3 linked regions of the Cricetulus griseus genome follow. The protein of the gene in region 1 interacts with the protein of each later gene in a pairwise test. Links are inferred from orthologs where the notes say so. Each region holds a gene or a part of one and is shown in the gene's direction. Other genes may lie near its edges.

What was found. The genes of interacting proteins can lie anywhere in the genome.
Region 2: the proteins of Ptn (region 1) and Dnajb11 interact in a two-hybrid assay, tested with the Homo sapiens proteins (2 studies listed by BioGRID and IntAct). The link is inferred for Cricetulus griseus from reciprocal best matches to the Homo sapiens genes PTN and DNAJB11.
Region 3: the proteins of Ptn (region 1) and Taf1d interact in a two-hybrid assay, tested with the Homo sapiens proteins (2 studies listed by BioGRID and IntAct). The link is inferred for Cricetulus griseus from reciprocal best matches to the Homo sapiens genes PTN and TAF1D.

What each region holds. Positions count from the first base shown.
Region 1 is NW_023276806.1:191,420,203-191,425,189, forward strand, and holds the start of Ptn (pleiotrophin), read left to right. Parts: upstream 1-1,917; coding exon 1,918-2,032; intron 2,033-3,124; coding exon 3,125-3,298; intron 3,299-4,987.
Region 2 is NC_048597.1:65,997,048-66,002,298, reverse strand, and holds the start of Dnajb11 (dnaJ homolog subfamily B member 11), read left to right. Parts: upstream 1-1,742; 5' UTR 1,743-1,925; coding exon 1,926-1,993; intron 1,994-5,251. UniProt on the Homo sapiens protein: As a co-chaperone for HSPA5 it is required for proper folding, trafficking or degradation of proteins.
Region 3 is NC_048597.1:128,814,498-128,819,539, forward strand, and holds the start of Taf1d (TATA box-binding protein-associated factor RNA polymerase I subunit D), read left to right. Parts: upstream 1-1,533; 5' UTR 1,534-1,823; intron 1,824-2,987; 5' UTR 2,988-2,997; coding exon 2,998-3,068; intron 3,069-3,469; coding exon 3,470-3,845; intron 3,846-5,042. UniProt on the Homo sapiens protein: Component of the transcription factor SL1/TIF-IB complex, which is involved in the assembly of the PIC (preinitiation complex) during RNA polymerase I-dependent transcription.

The sequences.
Region 1 (4,987 bases):
GAGAATGACTTCTGACCTCTTCGTGGGCTGCATTTATTAAGACCAGGGAGGTCATCACCCCATTGCTAGGTCAGAAAATTTTCTTTAGAGTTGTGCTTTCTCATCTGGAATGTTTAGATTCTCACAATAATATATGTCATAACAGTATAGGTAAGGCAATTTACAGGTAATTTTTACACATGAAAATGAAATCTAAGTTGAAATCAAAACTGAAAAGTCCCGAGTAAAGGAGATAATTTGCCTTTTATGAATTTTCAGAAGTGTCACCACAATTCGTAGGTACTGAAAGAAGGTGCTTAGGCAGCCATTGGGGGAAGCAAGGGCTCTGGTTCACTTTGTGCCCAATCGTTTAAAATGGTGTTTGAATGTCCCCGGAAAAAGTATATCCCAGAGGTGCACAGGGGGCTCATCTCTGGGAACTCTGACAAGCTTGCAAGTCATCGAGTCCAGGCTGGCTTCCTACCTCTAATCACAAGATGAGGAGGAGTCACCTACCTGATTTGCATGGAGCAATTCAGTGAGACTGTCCTAAGAATGCAGCTTTAGGGAGAGCAAAGCTTCTAATACTGGACTGTTGCCGGGGATGGAACTGGTGTTGATTAAGCAGGGTTCATGTTTTAAAGGGCAAAGTGGTAAAAATGTTAATTTTAGTTTGTTGGTAAAATATGTTTAATCATACTATAGAATCCAGTCATTGATAGAAAAACAAAACACAACTCCAATAAGTGACAATTCTAACATTGTGGAAGTTGATACAAGATTAGTTAGTAACCATGGTATCATATTTTAGATACTTATGAATTAGGAAAACAAGATGCATAATAGAGGGAGCACAGCACACACATGTGCATACCCATGCACATACATGTGCATACTCACACACACATATTATACCCCCAGGCACACATGAGTACACACACAGGAGTAGTCTCATTATTTACTAAAGAAATTGTAAAATCATTAAAAGCTAATCTATTGCAAGTTTTGGAAAAAAGGAATACAGCTCACACTAATAATAACCAAAGATTATTTGCACACTTTTGTGTGATCTATACAACACCATTAACACAGCAGATGGAGGTAAATGACCATCAACCACGTTTCTGCAATCAGTGGCTTTTTCAGAGCAGCTTAGGCAAGGTGAATATCTTGATGGAGGGTTATCACAGCATCTTTGAGTATAACAGGGATCTTCCTAGGGTTTTCTAGGGATTTTGACTTATGTGAGATGAGCAGTATTTCAATTTCTGAGCATGTATAGTCACTGCTCTCCAGATCTGAGGATTTAGTGGTTCTTGAGTAAAATCCATTTATGAATTCTTAGTGTTATAGCATGCCAGCTCTATATTTCTGTGTTTCACTCTAATGAGCAATGGGATGATACTATGTTTAAAATGAACATGGGTAAATAAGAATCAGAAATGCTGCTCATTGGTAGATATGCCTAAATATAAAAAACACAGTCAGTACACACAAGCTACTGTACACTATCATTTGTCACGGCTGTACCGAAGATTACTGTGACTGCAACACCATGAATGTTTCTAGGAACTTCCAGGCATCCTGAAGATGACTGTAGTTGTTATTAGCAAGTGATGCAAGCAACAGGATTGATTGTAGGAATCTGCTCAAAATCATGCCACGTGGTTCTCTTGCTTTCACAACCCCAGAGTCACACATAACAAATGGCTGTGAAATCTGATACGAAGAATGATTAAATTCTGCCCATGACCACGTGATTTACTGCTTTTGCAGCTGTTGGTGAGAAAGGATAAAATTACACTTTGTAATAATCAATACAGTTTTCCTAAAACCCAGTGTTCCAGAAGCTTCACATAGCATGCTTCATCAGAGAGTTGAATCTTCATCCTGACTTAGGTTGAAATCACCTTCTTCTTGTTCTCTTCATTTCCAGAAATGTCATCCCAACAGTACCAGCAGCAACGTCGAAAATTTGCAGCTGCTTTCTTGGCATTCATTTTCATCTTGGCAGCTGTGGACACTGCTGAGGCTGGGAAGAAAGAGAAACCCGGTAAGCAGTGGAGTCACAGAGAGATGTTTCCTTGGATGGTACCCAGGCAGCCCAGCTACCTGCTTATAGTTCTCCCACAGTTTCTAACATCCTTTCAATTATTTAGGGAAACCCTAAATTGCCCCATTTTGCTCCCGAATGAACATGCCCTTGGATAGTCATGAGTGGGCTGTGGTGTTGGGGGTCTCTTTTAGTCTGTGTCCTATACACATTTCTATTATGCCTTTTTACCCACAGAACAGAACCACACCATCAATTTTCAATGAAATTTTTAGTCTGACCACTACTACTTCTAATAGACATTCCCTCCTCATTTTTCAAGCTTTTTATAAACTACTTAGAATTTTTTATTTTGACAGAAATATTTCCTTCTTAGCCAGGCATTGGTGGCACACGCCTTTAATCCCAGCACTCAGGAGGCAGAGGCGGGTGAATCTCTGTGAGTCCAGCTTGATTTACAGAGTGAGTTCCAGAAGAGTCTCCAAAGCAATACAGAGAAACCCCATCTCAAACAACAACAACAAAACAAAACAAAATAAAAATGAAAAATATTTCCTTCTTTTTGTAAAATTTTACACTCTCAAATGTTTCATCAAAGATACACAAATCTTCAAATTTCATCTGGCACAAGTGTGTTAGCTGTTTGTTGCTGCATTCAGACACTTGAGGAGTGAATTTAAGAGGAAGATGGCTTTATTTCACTTAGGGTTTCAGAGGTGTGGGCCCGTCACTGCAGGCACGCGTGGCAGAATAGCTCATATTGTGGTGGTCAGGGAGCAGGCAGAGGGACAACGCCTTCATTCAGAAACATCTTTCTAAAAGGAAATATTAGTGATTCACGTAGAACAGTCTCTATCACACACATGACTTAGTAGTATTAGTTCCGTCTCTGCCCCCATGTTTTCTTTCTTTCTCCTCTTAACCATGCATTGACTGGATCATTGAGAAGACATCCCACTGTCTTCCTGGACAATACAGATAGAGATAAAAGTCATAGACTCCACAATCGAGGTTCTGAGGTGTGAACTTAGCCATATTCAAGAGTTCAGTACATTTCTGGACGGTGGTTGCTTTTTGTTTCCTCCCTTGCAGAAAAAAAGGTGAAAAAATCTGACTGTGGAGAATGGCAGTGGAGTGTGTGTGTGCCCACCAGCGGGGACTGTGGACTGGGCACCCGGGAGGGCACTCGCACTGGTGCTGAGTGCAAGCAAACCATGAAGACCCAGAGATGTAAGATCCCTTGCAACTGGAAGAAGCAGTTTGGAGGTCAGTCTCACCCTGTGTTCTTATTGCTTTAATCTACTATTCTGAAATACTTTTGGAACAATTCTATCAAATTCATTTTCAAAGCCAACTCATGTTTATATTAAATTAAATAAATATATTTTCTTAGACACACGGTGACCAGCCAGCTTTCCTCTTAGATTCAGCACTAGTGATATCAGGGGCTGGATTTTTGTTGTTTTTGTCTTGTACATTTTAGGGTAATTAGTAACATCCTTGTCATCTACCATTATATTTTCAACCATATTTTAATACAACCTACTCTACCAGCCAGGAAAACTGAGAAAATGTCATTTGATAGCCAAAATGACAACAGAGTCATATAAATTAGACTTTAAATAGTATGGGGTATGGTTAAGACTCACTTAAAAAAAGTTTGTGAGGCAGGGCATTGGTGGCACAAGCCTTTGATCCCAGCACATGGGAGGTAGAGGCAGACTGATCGCTGTGAGTTTGAGGCCAGCCTGGTCTCCAGAGTGAGTGCCAGGATAGGCTCCAAAGCTACACAGAGAAACCTTGTCTCGAAAAACCAAAAAAACAAAAGTTTCTTAAAGGACTCCTGTCATGAACATGTATAAAAATCTCAAGAATCAATATAGAATCAAAACAAACAAGCAAACATACAACCCTAACAATCCAGGAAGATAGTGAATAAATACCAACAGACATAATTTATGAGGAGAATAGATAATAATAAATAGACACCTGGAAAGATACTCAATTTCTCTGTCCCATTAAGGGAAGAGAGATTGAAACCCTGGTGACATGTTGCTATGTACCCATCAGAATGCCTGGAATAAAAACATTATGATACCCCTGGCAGTGAAGATGCAGAGACACTAGGTTATGTAGTTACTGTCAGTAGAAATAGAAAATGGCACAGCAATACTAAAAAAGATACTACTTTTTGGAGAGGTTGCTTGTTTTATGTTTGTATGAAATTAAACATGAGTTGACCTTACCATGTAACTCAGCAGTTTCTTGGGCGTTTTTCTTCCAGAGAAAATAAAATGTTTTCACAGAACACCTTATATGAATAAATAGAATTTGCATTTGTATGTATATAAATTAGCCAAAATAAAGCAATACAGGCATCTTTTAGTTGGCGATGGATAAATAAAGTTTGGGATATCTATATCGTGGATGGTTACTCAGTTGTACAAAAACATACAATATTGATTTACACAACGTGAGTTGATAGTCACAAATTTATGGTAAGTAAGGAAGTAGCCAGTCTCAGAGCCATAGAGATGGCTCAGTTGTTAGGAACACCTGCTTTTCGTGCAGTGGACCTGGGTTAGGTTCCTCACACCCATCATTCCAGTTCAAGAGGATCATACACCATCTCCTAATTTCTGTGGGCACGAGAGTAGCCAATCACAAAAGTTTACATAGTTTAAAATCTCATTTATAGAATGAATTGAGCTGAAGAAGATTTGTGGTTGTAGGTAACTTAAGAGGTAGGAAGGCTGTGACTGTATGTAAGGTGACAATGGGACCCTGGCATTGGGATGATATGTACATTAATGGTGCTGATTACATGCATTCACATGGCTAGAACTATACATGTCCATGCATATACACAGAACTATATGCGTTCATGCATATAAAACTGAAATCTGACTCCACTCTTGGAATTCATAATTTCCATTTTATAAGATAGGCCCACAG
Region 2 (5,251 bases), on another chromosome or scaffold:
TACAGAACTAACCTAGTTTAGTTTATGTACACAATGATCTTTTTTCCAACATAAAGAATACAGTTATGCTGTCTACAGGAAAATGGATACAGCTGGAAATATTCATCTTAAGGGAATTAAGCCAATCTCAGAGAGACAGATACATGTTTTCTTTCGTTTTGGTTCCTAGATTTTATATAGGTACTTAAAATTACATACGTATATATATATATGGCATGAAAGTAGAGGCAGAACTGTAGAGAAACGAAGGGGATAACAGAACAGAGAGAAAAAGGTAGGAGGGTATATGGTAAGAGGAGGAATATGCTCCGTGTACATAATTTGCTGATGCAAGAAAGTGCCGTATGCAATGAATATATACAATGAAAATTTTTTAAAAGGAGGAAGGAAGCTGATTATTCTGGAACATTTTAAGAGGTGAGGATACTGATTGTTAAACTAGACAGCTTTGTAAGTTACAATAGAGTTGACATTTTACTTTTAGTACATTGAAAAGCCATTAGAGGCTTTTAAGCAGGAGAGTGACATGATCTGAAATACTTTTTAAAAATCACGAGGACGCTGGGGAGATAGTTCAGTCCATAAAGCTTGCCACTTACTTGCTGTATAAACAGGAGACCTTGAATTCCACGCATAGCAGCAACTGCGGCAACAACCGCCTGAAACCCCAGAGCTGGGGAGACAGAGACAGGACCTTGGTCTTCCAAGTCCACCTGCCTAGTCTAATCTGTGGTCTCCAGGTCCCTAGTGCGCTCACGCATGCACACGATCATGGGGTGGAGAGTAGGAGTACATTAAAATAATGGATCGATATATAAAGTTTGGAGGGAGAAGATCGTTAAGAGACCTTTGCAAGCAAGAGATAATTGTGACTTGGGCCAGAGATGGAGCTGTACTGGACATAATCAAGATACCGTTCATTGGTAAAGATCTAGATAGCTCATGTAGGAAGCAAAGCTAAGAGGAGAGGCTTTGCTAAACAACTAGCTTTCTGTAGTTAACAAAACTGGAGAAAAGAACCAACGAACAAGCTCTGCTCCGAACTATAATAACGGCTTTTATTGATTGCATGCTTACTATGTGCAACTCTACTGGAAAACTTACAGAAAACATGTCAATTAAAAATTCCCAACACTACCAGTGAACGCCGCCACGCCTTAAGTTTTGTCGAAAACGGGTTCGGAAGCGGGGTGGGGGTGGGGATGTCTCACCGCTGCGAAGTGCTGGAAGCCGAATCTGAACTTAAGTCGGTCTCCGCGGCGGCTTCTCTATAAGGTACCGGGCCTCTTTTCTACGAAATCGAGACTATATGTACTAAATTTGTACTGTGAGATCGCATCCTTAGGTAAGGCGCCCCAAGTACTCTGACACCGAGTGATCGCCCACCCTCCTGGGGTTGCACCTCAGGGATCCCGCGCGTCCCGGGCGCACGCGACGTAGTTTCCAGACTGGAAAACCGAGTTAAGACCTCTTGCGAGCAATTGGTCAGAGCTGGGAAGGAGTCTCCCGATTGGTGGACCACTCGGGTTTCCTCGCAGCGCGCTCCCCTCCGCCTGAGATTTTCTCCTATTCGCAGGCACTTCCGGGCGGCGCGAACCTCTGACGTTTCCTCTTCCCATTGGCCGGCAGCAGCGGCGGCAGTTCCGTTGTCTGACTGGCTGTCCGAGCCGCCTCGGAGGTGAAGTGTACCGCGCTGATTGGCTGCGGAGTGGCGGCCGCGTGTGATGTCCCCGGCGGCGATTGGCCCATGCCTGGCTGCTCGCCGGCTCTGGGGCTCCCGGAAAGTGGCAGCTGAGGAGGGGGCGCGCTAGCTGTCTCGGCGGCCCGGCAAGAGACCCGGGCGTGAGGCGGCCTCTCAGGGCCGGAAGGGCTGGTCAGCAGACGCAGCGGCACGGGAGGCTGAGAGTGCGGGACCAGGCGACACCATGGCCCCGCAGAACCTAAGCACCTTCTGCCTGTTGCTGCTGTACCTCATCGGGGCTGTGATGGCCGGGTGAGGAAGGGGCTCCGCGCGGCACGGGGCCCGAGGGGCGGCCTTTGCTGAGAAGGACGCGGGTGGCATCGAGGAGGGGGCAGTGAGGGAGCGGCACTGCCGAGCCGAGGGACGGAGGGGCAGTGAGGGCCGGGCTGGCCCTGCGGAGCCAGAGTGCCCACAAGAGCAGGAGTTGGTTGCAGTGCCAAATGCTACGTTTGTGCATTGGAAGGAGTTAAGTGGCTGTGAGCGGTAGTAGAGTCACGGAACTCCGAGGAAGGGAGTGAGTGCCAAGCTGGGGTTGAAGTTATGGACACGTCTTTGCTGAACTGGAGGGTGGGACGGTGGGTTACCTAGCTTGCAACAAGCCTCCGAGGACCTGACACTAAAGTGGGTGGGCCATGATGCTCTTAAGTCAGATGCAGGTAAGGAAGCCAAGCTCACGCGGGAGTAAACTGGCTTGAGGAAGCAACAAGACCTTTAGAGAACCTACTTTCCACCTTCTTGGGCTAGCGAGCCTGAACTGTCATCTTGCCTCACTGTCTCTCTCCATGGTTCCTTGAGCTGGATGGTATAAGTAGGAAAAGCACTTCACGAACGGGTGAGAAAACTGGGATTCTAGCCTTTTGCCACTCTTATGAATCATACAAGTTTGAAGGAACTTTACCGAAGTTCTGAAACCAGGGGAGCATTGTGCCTCCCTTCAGGGAGAAAGAGCAGACTTTGAGAATCTATCTCCCAGCATTTAAAATGCACGACCTTATAGTTCCCATGACTAAGGATATGGTACATCAGACTTGTGTTCTTGAGGGCTGGAACCCTTCACCCCAGCTTTTGGCAGATGAAAACAGGTGGATCAGAATTCAAGGTCATCTTCAGCTCCAGAGGGAGTTTCAGGCTTGCCAAGCCTACATCATCCCCTATCTCAAATAAATAAGTAACCACAAAAATAAAAACACACCAAAAACTAGTGGGTGTCAGAGTCTGACAGTCTGTAGGTTGCTGCATTACCTCAAATAGCTTTTAAAGTTGTTTCCTTATGTTTTTTACTCTTTGCATGTATGCTTAAATTTTGTCATTTTTTTTCCTTGTGAAATATTTTAAATTTCTAAAAGTTCACATTTCTTACATATTCTTTATTGTTTCCCCTTAGTTTGATTAAGCTCATGAGTACCCAAAGCATTTAACAAAACGTCAACATAAAATTTTGGAGTTGGAAGTTGAGGTATTCTGGTCTCCAGCTCAATATGTAGCTGAGGGCAATCTTGAACTCCTTCATGCTCCTTCAGCCACCACTTCCCACATGCTAGGATTGCAGACATGGGTGACCATTCCTGGCAAATACTAATAGCTTTTAATACTTTAGCTTTAAACTTCAGTCACTCATAAAGTAGCCTCTGGGGAGCATAATGTTGACGGCCATTTTTTTCTGAGCTGTCATTTAGCCTTTTCCCCCCTTTAAAAAGTCTTTTACTTACTCTCTGTCAGTTTCATACACATACAGTGTAATCATACCTACCCAAAATCCCGCAGATACACACGCGAGCGCGAGCACACACACACACACACACACACACACACACACACCAACATGCCCCTTCCCACATCCAGTAACTCACTGAGTCCAGTTAGTTGATGTAGCTGCTGGAGTGGTGACTAATGGTATTGGCTTGCTCTTTTCAAAGGTCTTGTTCAGGTAGCCATAACTTGAGTATATTCGTGAGTGCCATATCCAGAAGACAGAATTTGACAGCACTCCTCCCCTTCCCATGCTTTTACATCCTTTCTGCCCCATCTCCCACAATGTTCCTGAACTTTGGAGACTTGGGGAGAGGCGGGGGAAGGTTGGAATAGATATTCTGTTTAAGATTGAACACTCAGCAGTTACCTGTTCTCCACACTTTGACCAGTTATGTTGATACATTTACTGCCACCGTAAAAAGAAGTCTCTATGACCAAGGCTGAGAGTGTGTGAATCTATAGATATAACCTAAATATTTACATGATATAGTATTAATTATAGATACAACCTAAAAATCACATGTCTGCTTAGCAAAACAACAGTAATAGGTCTCCCTGTCCCCCATGGCCTATGACCTCGCCAGCCACGGGTTTTCAGCTTTACAGTACCAGATAGGAATTCCCTTCTGTGGAGCAGGCCTCAAGTCCAGTCAGAAAGCAGTGGGTTAACCTCATAATCTTCACATCACTATTGTACCAGATGTGGGACTATCTTGCTTTTTTGGTCAATATTAGTAATTTTCCTCCTCACACAACCTACGTAACCTTCTGACACTGTGAAAGCTGGCCAGAAGGCGGGAATTTTGTATGTCAACTCAGTTTGATTTCTCTGTGTCCGGTAACCAAAATGTGTGTCATCAGCAATGGGGCTTCCGTTATGATGGGCAATGGTGAAGCTTCTTGTCTGGGGGCCTCCCTGACTTATAACTCTCATAGGGAGTTTTCCCACACCTGGCACTGAGATTTTCACTTCATAATCTATGTCTTCTAAGGGAAACATCCACTCATACAGGGTACCTATGTTCAGAATCCCCGGTCTCTCTGTGTTTGTGTGTCTGTCTGTCTGTCTGTCTGTCTGTCTGTCTGTCTGTCTGTCTCTAAGATTTTATTTTTTAAGTACATGTACATGTGTGTCTGTGTGCGGGCATGAACATGTAAGTGCAGGTGCCTGTGGAAGAAAGAAAAGAGTGTTGAATTCCCTGAAGCTGGAGTTAAAGGTGGGTGTAAATCCACCCATCATGGGTGCTGAAAATGGAATTCAGCTCCTCTGTCAGAGTAATACAACTGTAAGATATGTTGGGGGCCACTTTATATATTTTTTGAGTTAGTTAACAAAGTAGTGGCTTTTCATGTTTTTTTTTTCTTATCCTTAGTTTTGTTTAATTCACCCCTCTCCATAAGCATTAAGTAAGCCTCACTTCATAGTTAGCATTTTCATTATTAAACAGCTGGTTCCTTTCCCATGAGATGTCAAGACTTTACAGATTAGGTAGGGACTTCCTGTGAGTGATAAGTTTTAAAAATGATGAAGTTGAGCTGAGCATGATGTCACACACCTTTATCCCCAGCACTTGGGAGTCAGAGTCAGACAGTTCTCTGTGAATTTGAGTCCTGCCTACTCTACAGAGTGAGTTCCAGGACAGCCAGAACTACAGGGAAACCTTTTCTCAAAATTATATAGTTGAGTAGGACATGGTTCATATACTCCTGTAAACTTGACATTTATGAGGTAGAGGCAAGAAGGTCAGGAATTCAAGG
Region 3 (5,042 bases), on another chromosome or scaffold:
CCACCTGCCAAAACTAAAACAAAAGCCTAATCCAAATCCATAGCTCTGAGGCAGTTTCTAAATGTACTAACCTTGCTTTTTAGCTTTTATAGTTCTGCTTGGTTAGATGTTATGTTAACTGGAGTGGGTCAAATCATGACAGGATTTTTGTGCTTATAAGCTCACCCTGAGAAAGGCTTAGGGCTACACTGGGATCCCGAACACTCAGTTGGTTGCTGGCTGGCTAATAAAGTTTTTCTATTGGCTTTTAACCTATGTCTGAACACTCTTCTCTGGTGAACGCCCCACAACAATTCTGCTCATTAAGTTCTTTTCTTTTTTCAAGACAGTTTCCTGGAACTCACTCTGTAGACCAGATTGGCCTTGACTCATTGATATCTGCCTGCCTCTGCCTCCCAAGTGCTGGGATTAAAGGCCTAGAAGCTCATTAAGGTTTTTTTATTTTTTTATTTTTGGTTTTTTGAGACAGGGTTTCTCTGTGTAGCTTGTGCTGGCCTCCAACTCACAGAGATTCGCCTGCCTCTGCCTCCAGAGTGTTAGGATAAAGAGTGAGGTGAACCTTGGCAGGTTTCATGGCGGGCGAGGTTGACCGAGGCCAAGGGACAAACATTCCAGGCAGACAGCTTAAATGAAGTTTTATTAGGAAGAGGCAGGCCAGCATAATGCCTGATCCTTACACCCAGTGCTGGGATTAAGGGCATGAGTCACCACCGCCTGGCAGTACACAACATAAAGATGGTAAAACTTGTATTAATAATTCTAAATTTTCCTTACTTATGGGGAAAACATAGTCTAGGCTGGCCTGGCAATCCTCCTTCAGACTCTCCAGTTCTGCGATTTGCCACAGTTCTCAGCTATTTGTCACTTTCGTTTTGAACAGGACCCTGCAATTTAAGTTTGCACTGGTCCTGAATGTGACAGTCTGAGATGCCTGTCTTAGAGCTTACAGCGAATGCACTGGCTGCTTGCAAGTACAGCAAGACCTTACTTTTAAGGCGTGTCCAATCATAAATGATAACAACTGTTGACTAAGGGCAAGCAGATCTGCTGGCTTGCTTGTCATACAATACAAAGGTGCAGCATGGAAAATAACTCAAAGCAGCTCACTACTGAAAAGAAAGTACTGTAGGGCTAAAAACTGTTTAGCCCTACACTGTTGAGTCAACTCAGGATCTGAAGGAGGAAGCCCATGCCTGCTGGAAGCTAACTCCTGAAGGGTGGGGTGCCCAAAGCACCTGGCACCCTTCCTCTGAGGGGGAACTCCGCACACAGTGGGCTCGGCCCCACAACATGCGGACGCTCACCTGACCCGCAGTGTCTTCACGCCTGCAGGAATGCCTTCTTCCCTTCACCTACCCAAGTTCAACGTCCTGCTCCCTTCCGCCAGCTCAAAGCCTAGGGGCGAGCCCGGTACCGCCTCTCGCGGAGGCCCCGCCCACTCCACAGTCCACGCACATAGCCACGCCTAGCACGTAGCCGCGCTCTCGTACCCACCCGCCGCTAAGAGCTCACGCGAGATCTCGGCCTGCCCTAGTCGGCTGCTGCGAGCTGGAACGTTCTTTTGGTCGCGGTGGAGGAGGGAGACGGGTGTGTTTGCGTTGGGCGCTCGGGTCTGGCGCGATCGGTCGGTGCGGGACTCGGAGACCGCGCGCGGGCCCGGGCTCTTTGGGCGGCTGTCCGCGCGCAGTCGGCGCTGTTGTCGGGTGAGGCGCAGCGGGCCACGCGTGGCTCCCGGTCGCTATCGGTCGCTGCCGGAAGGTTTTAGAGTGTCCCGTCGGGGCATTGTGCTGGTGCTGCCTTCCTAGGTCGAGAAGACCGCACAGGTAGGACTGATTTCTAGATAGGTTCCTCGTGTGTACTTGGCCATTACCCTTAGAATTTTCTCCGCTCTATCGTTGGTGCAAACGGGCCAAGTATGTTACGTTGCAATTTTGATGGGCTAATACTAAAAAACAATGGGGAATGGAGAAATGGCTCTACAGCTAAGAGCACCAGCTGCTCTATCAGGGGACGTGGGTTCAATTCCTAGCAGCCACGTGGTAGTTCACAACCATTTGTAATGGGCTCTGGTTCCTATTTCTGGTATGGGTGAAACCAATGCACTATCCGTAAAATAAGTCCCCTTTTAAAGGAAAAAAGTTAATAACCCGGGAGGTGGTGGTGCATTTCTTTAATTACAGCACTCAGGAGGAAGGCGGATCTTGAGTTCGAGGCCCCGCCTGCCTCTACCTCCTGGGGTTAAAGGCGCGCACCACCACCTGGCCAGTTGCGGCCCCTTTAAAGCTGCCTTGTGGGTGCTGGGAATTTAATCTGTCCACTCAAGAGCAGTCAGTATTCTTAAAGCTAAGCCATCTCTTCAGCTGACTCACCCTAGAGGTTCTATTGTTGGGATTACAGGCCCATTGGCCATTCGGGAAATTGAGGCATACACACTGAGTGGCTAAAAATTCAGCCTTCCTAGGGTAAACATCCGAATTAATGCTGTTTCACTGTGTGGCTGGCTGGTAGTAAAGCCACTCAGGTACTTTTGTTAAGTAGAATTAGAAAACACTGATTTGGAAAGTGGTCTCTCCTTTGCTTTCACTTGTAGATTAGAATTGAATGTGTGGGTATCCAGGAAGCCAGAAACATGCCATGTTGAAGTTGTGAGCTACCCAATGTGAGTGCTGGGAACTGAACTGTGGAAGGTTACACTTTAACTGCTGTGCTCCTCACGTGGATATTTTTTTTTTTAAGACAAGGTTTTTCTATATTGAATTAGAGCCTGTCCTGAAACTAACCTGGAACTCACAGGTCTGCCTGCCTCTGCCTCCCAAATGGCTGGGATTAAAGGCGTGCACCACCAACAGCTGGCTCACTTGGATGTTTTTAAAGATCTAAAGTGGACTATCCTTAGGTCGATTTTACCTAAAGTCACATGGTGGTATGGTGTATGTTGAACTTTTCATTAGAATGCTAGGTGCATCACACTGAAATTGTAATTGCAGAGATCGAGTAATGGCTCAATCAGAAGTGACTTCTGTTGACTGCATGACACCTGATAGAGCTGCAGACATTGGACATCAAAGGTAAGGCAGCTTTTGTGACTAAACACCCTAGAGTTGAGTCTAACTGTTCAGATTGACAGGTCTCAGTAGGTGGCCTCATTCAAAGATGATCCTGCCTATTTCTCCCAAGAGCTGGAATTAAAGGCTTATCACCACACCCATTTGAAAATGTTGGGTATGATTTTGGGGGAGCTGGCTTTGGAAGAAATGTACACTTAAATTTTTAATGTCTTCTCTTATGTGACTTATGAGTGAGTGCTTTGCCTACAGTCAGTATCATGTGTTCAGAAGAGGGTGTTGAACTCCATGAAACTTGAGTTACTAATGACCATGCTGCCTGAGGGTACAGCCTTGCCACTCGTGAATTGGATTGTTTCTAGTAACGACTCAGTGATGCAGTTTATTTTATTTTATTTTTTTAGCGATGACTCATCTGATAGCTTATTTAAAACACAGTACGTTCTTTCACCTACACGAAAGCAAAGAAACCCTACGACAAAACGTGTCACTTTACCTGCAAATGTTGACACTGACACATCAAGTGACTCCTCTATAGAACCAAGGCTTTTGACTTTAAAGGCTATTTTTGAAAGATTTAAGAAAAAGAAACGGAAAAAAAGGAAATACAAGCCAAAATTAAGACCAAGAGGAAGACCACCTGGAATAAAAAATGCTAGAAACCCTAGAAGGTCACAGATAGGTGTGAAGCAAATTAAAAACAAAGGAGCTGTGTTTCCATTCTTAGAATCTGAAAATGGAAGAAAACCCTTACCTTGGAAGAAAATTTTAACATATGAGGTGAGTCATTCTCATGTAAGTGAATACACTAGGAAATTGGAATGATTGTTGCCCCCATCTTTTCTTCCTGGTTTTTCCAGACATAGTTTCTCTGGGTTTGGGTGTTGTTGGCCATTTTTAATTTGAGGTCCACCTGGGACACATTTTGTTACTTTGACAATAAACAATGTGTTCTGTGTAAAGTCTGCTCAGGTTCCAGTGTTTCTGAGTGCACTGTTTTTAGTGTGTATACAAACTTAGAGAATAATGGTCCAAGTCTGTAAATGTACAAAATACCCTCATCTTAGTCTCTAAACTACTCTCAAGCATATCTTACCCAACTTTAAATTAAGTAGCCCATCAAACCAGTCATTTCAAAGTAAGCAGATGTTATTTCGTTCTTTTTATTTTTTATGTCATTTACTTTTTTGGGGGGGTGTTTCGATACAGGGTTTTCTGTGTAGCTTTGGAGCCTATCCTGGCACTCCTTTGGAGACCAGGGTGGCCTCGAACTCGCAGAAATCTGCCTGCCTCTGCCTCCCAAGTGCTGGGACTAAAGGCGTGCTCCACCAACGCCTGCCGCAGATATTTCTAAGGCCATTTTTAGAAGTACCCAGAACAGGCTGGAGAAAGCAACATAAAGGGTGCTGCTTGTTAGCTGGTCATGTGCATTGTTAACCCAGTTGCTCTTGACCCACAATCTAGGATACACAATAGTTATCAGTCCTGTTAGTTGATACCTTCTGGTAATCCAAATGAATTTAACCTGACTAAGGACAAGGACTGGAGCGATAGATACACAGCTCAACACTTAGCTGTTCTTCCAGAGTACCCAGGTTCAATGCCCAGCATCCTACATGGTCACTCAAAGCCATCTGTAACCCCAATGTTGCTGTCTCTTCTGGTCTCTGAGGTAACCTGGCACGAAGTAGTGCATTGGTATGCAAAACACCCATACATGGGAAAACCCAAGTACCCTGACACAGGTTTTTCAAATATTTGGGCATTAAATATTGCAGGGATATAAGTGGTCCTTGTTTGGAATTTGCAATCAGGATTAATGTCATTCTTTAAATGTGTGTGCATGTGCAGACCTAGCAGGGCTTGCCAATTCAGGTGGTCTTCCTAGTTAGCTTGTTGGGTTACTATCTTTCCAAGTCTGGAACCACCATGTACGTACACTCAGTATTTACATGGTTTCTGTGCTTCCAAATCTGG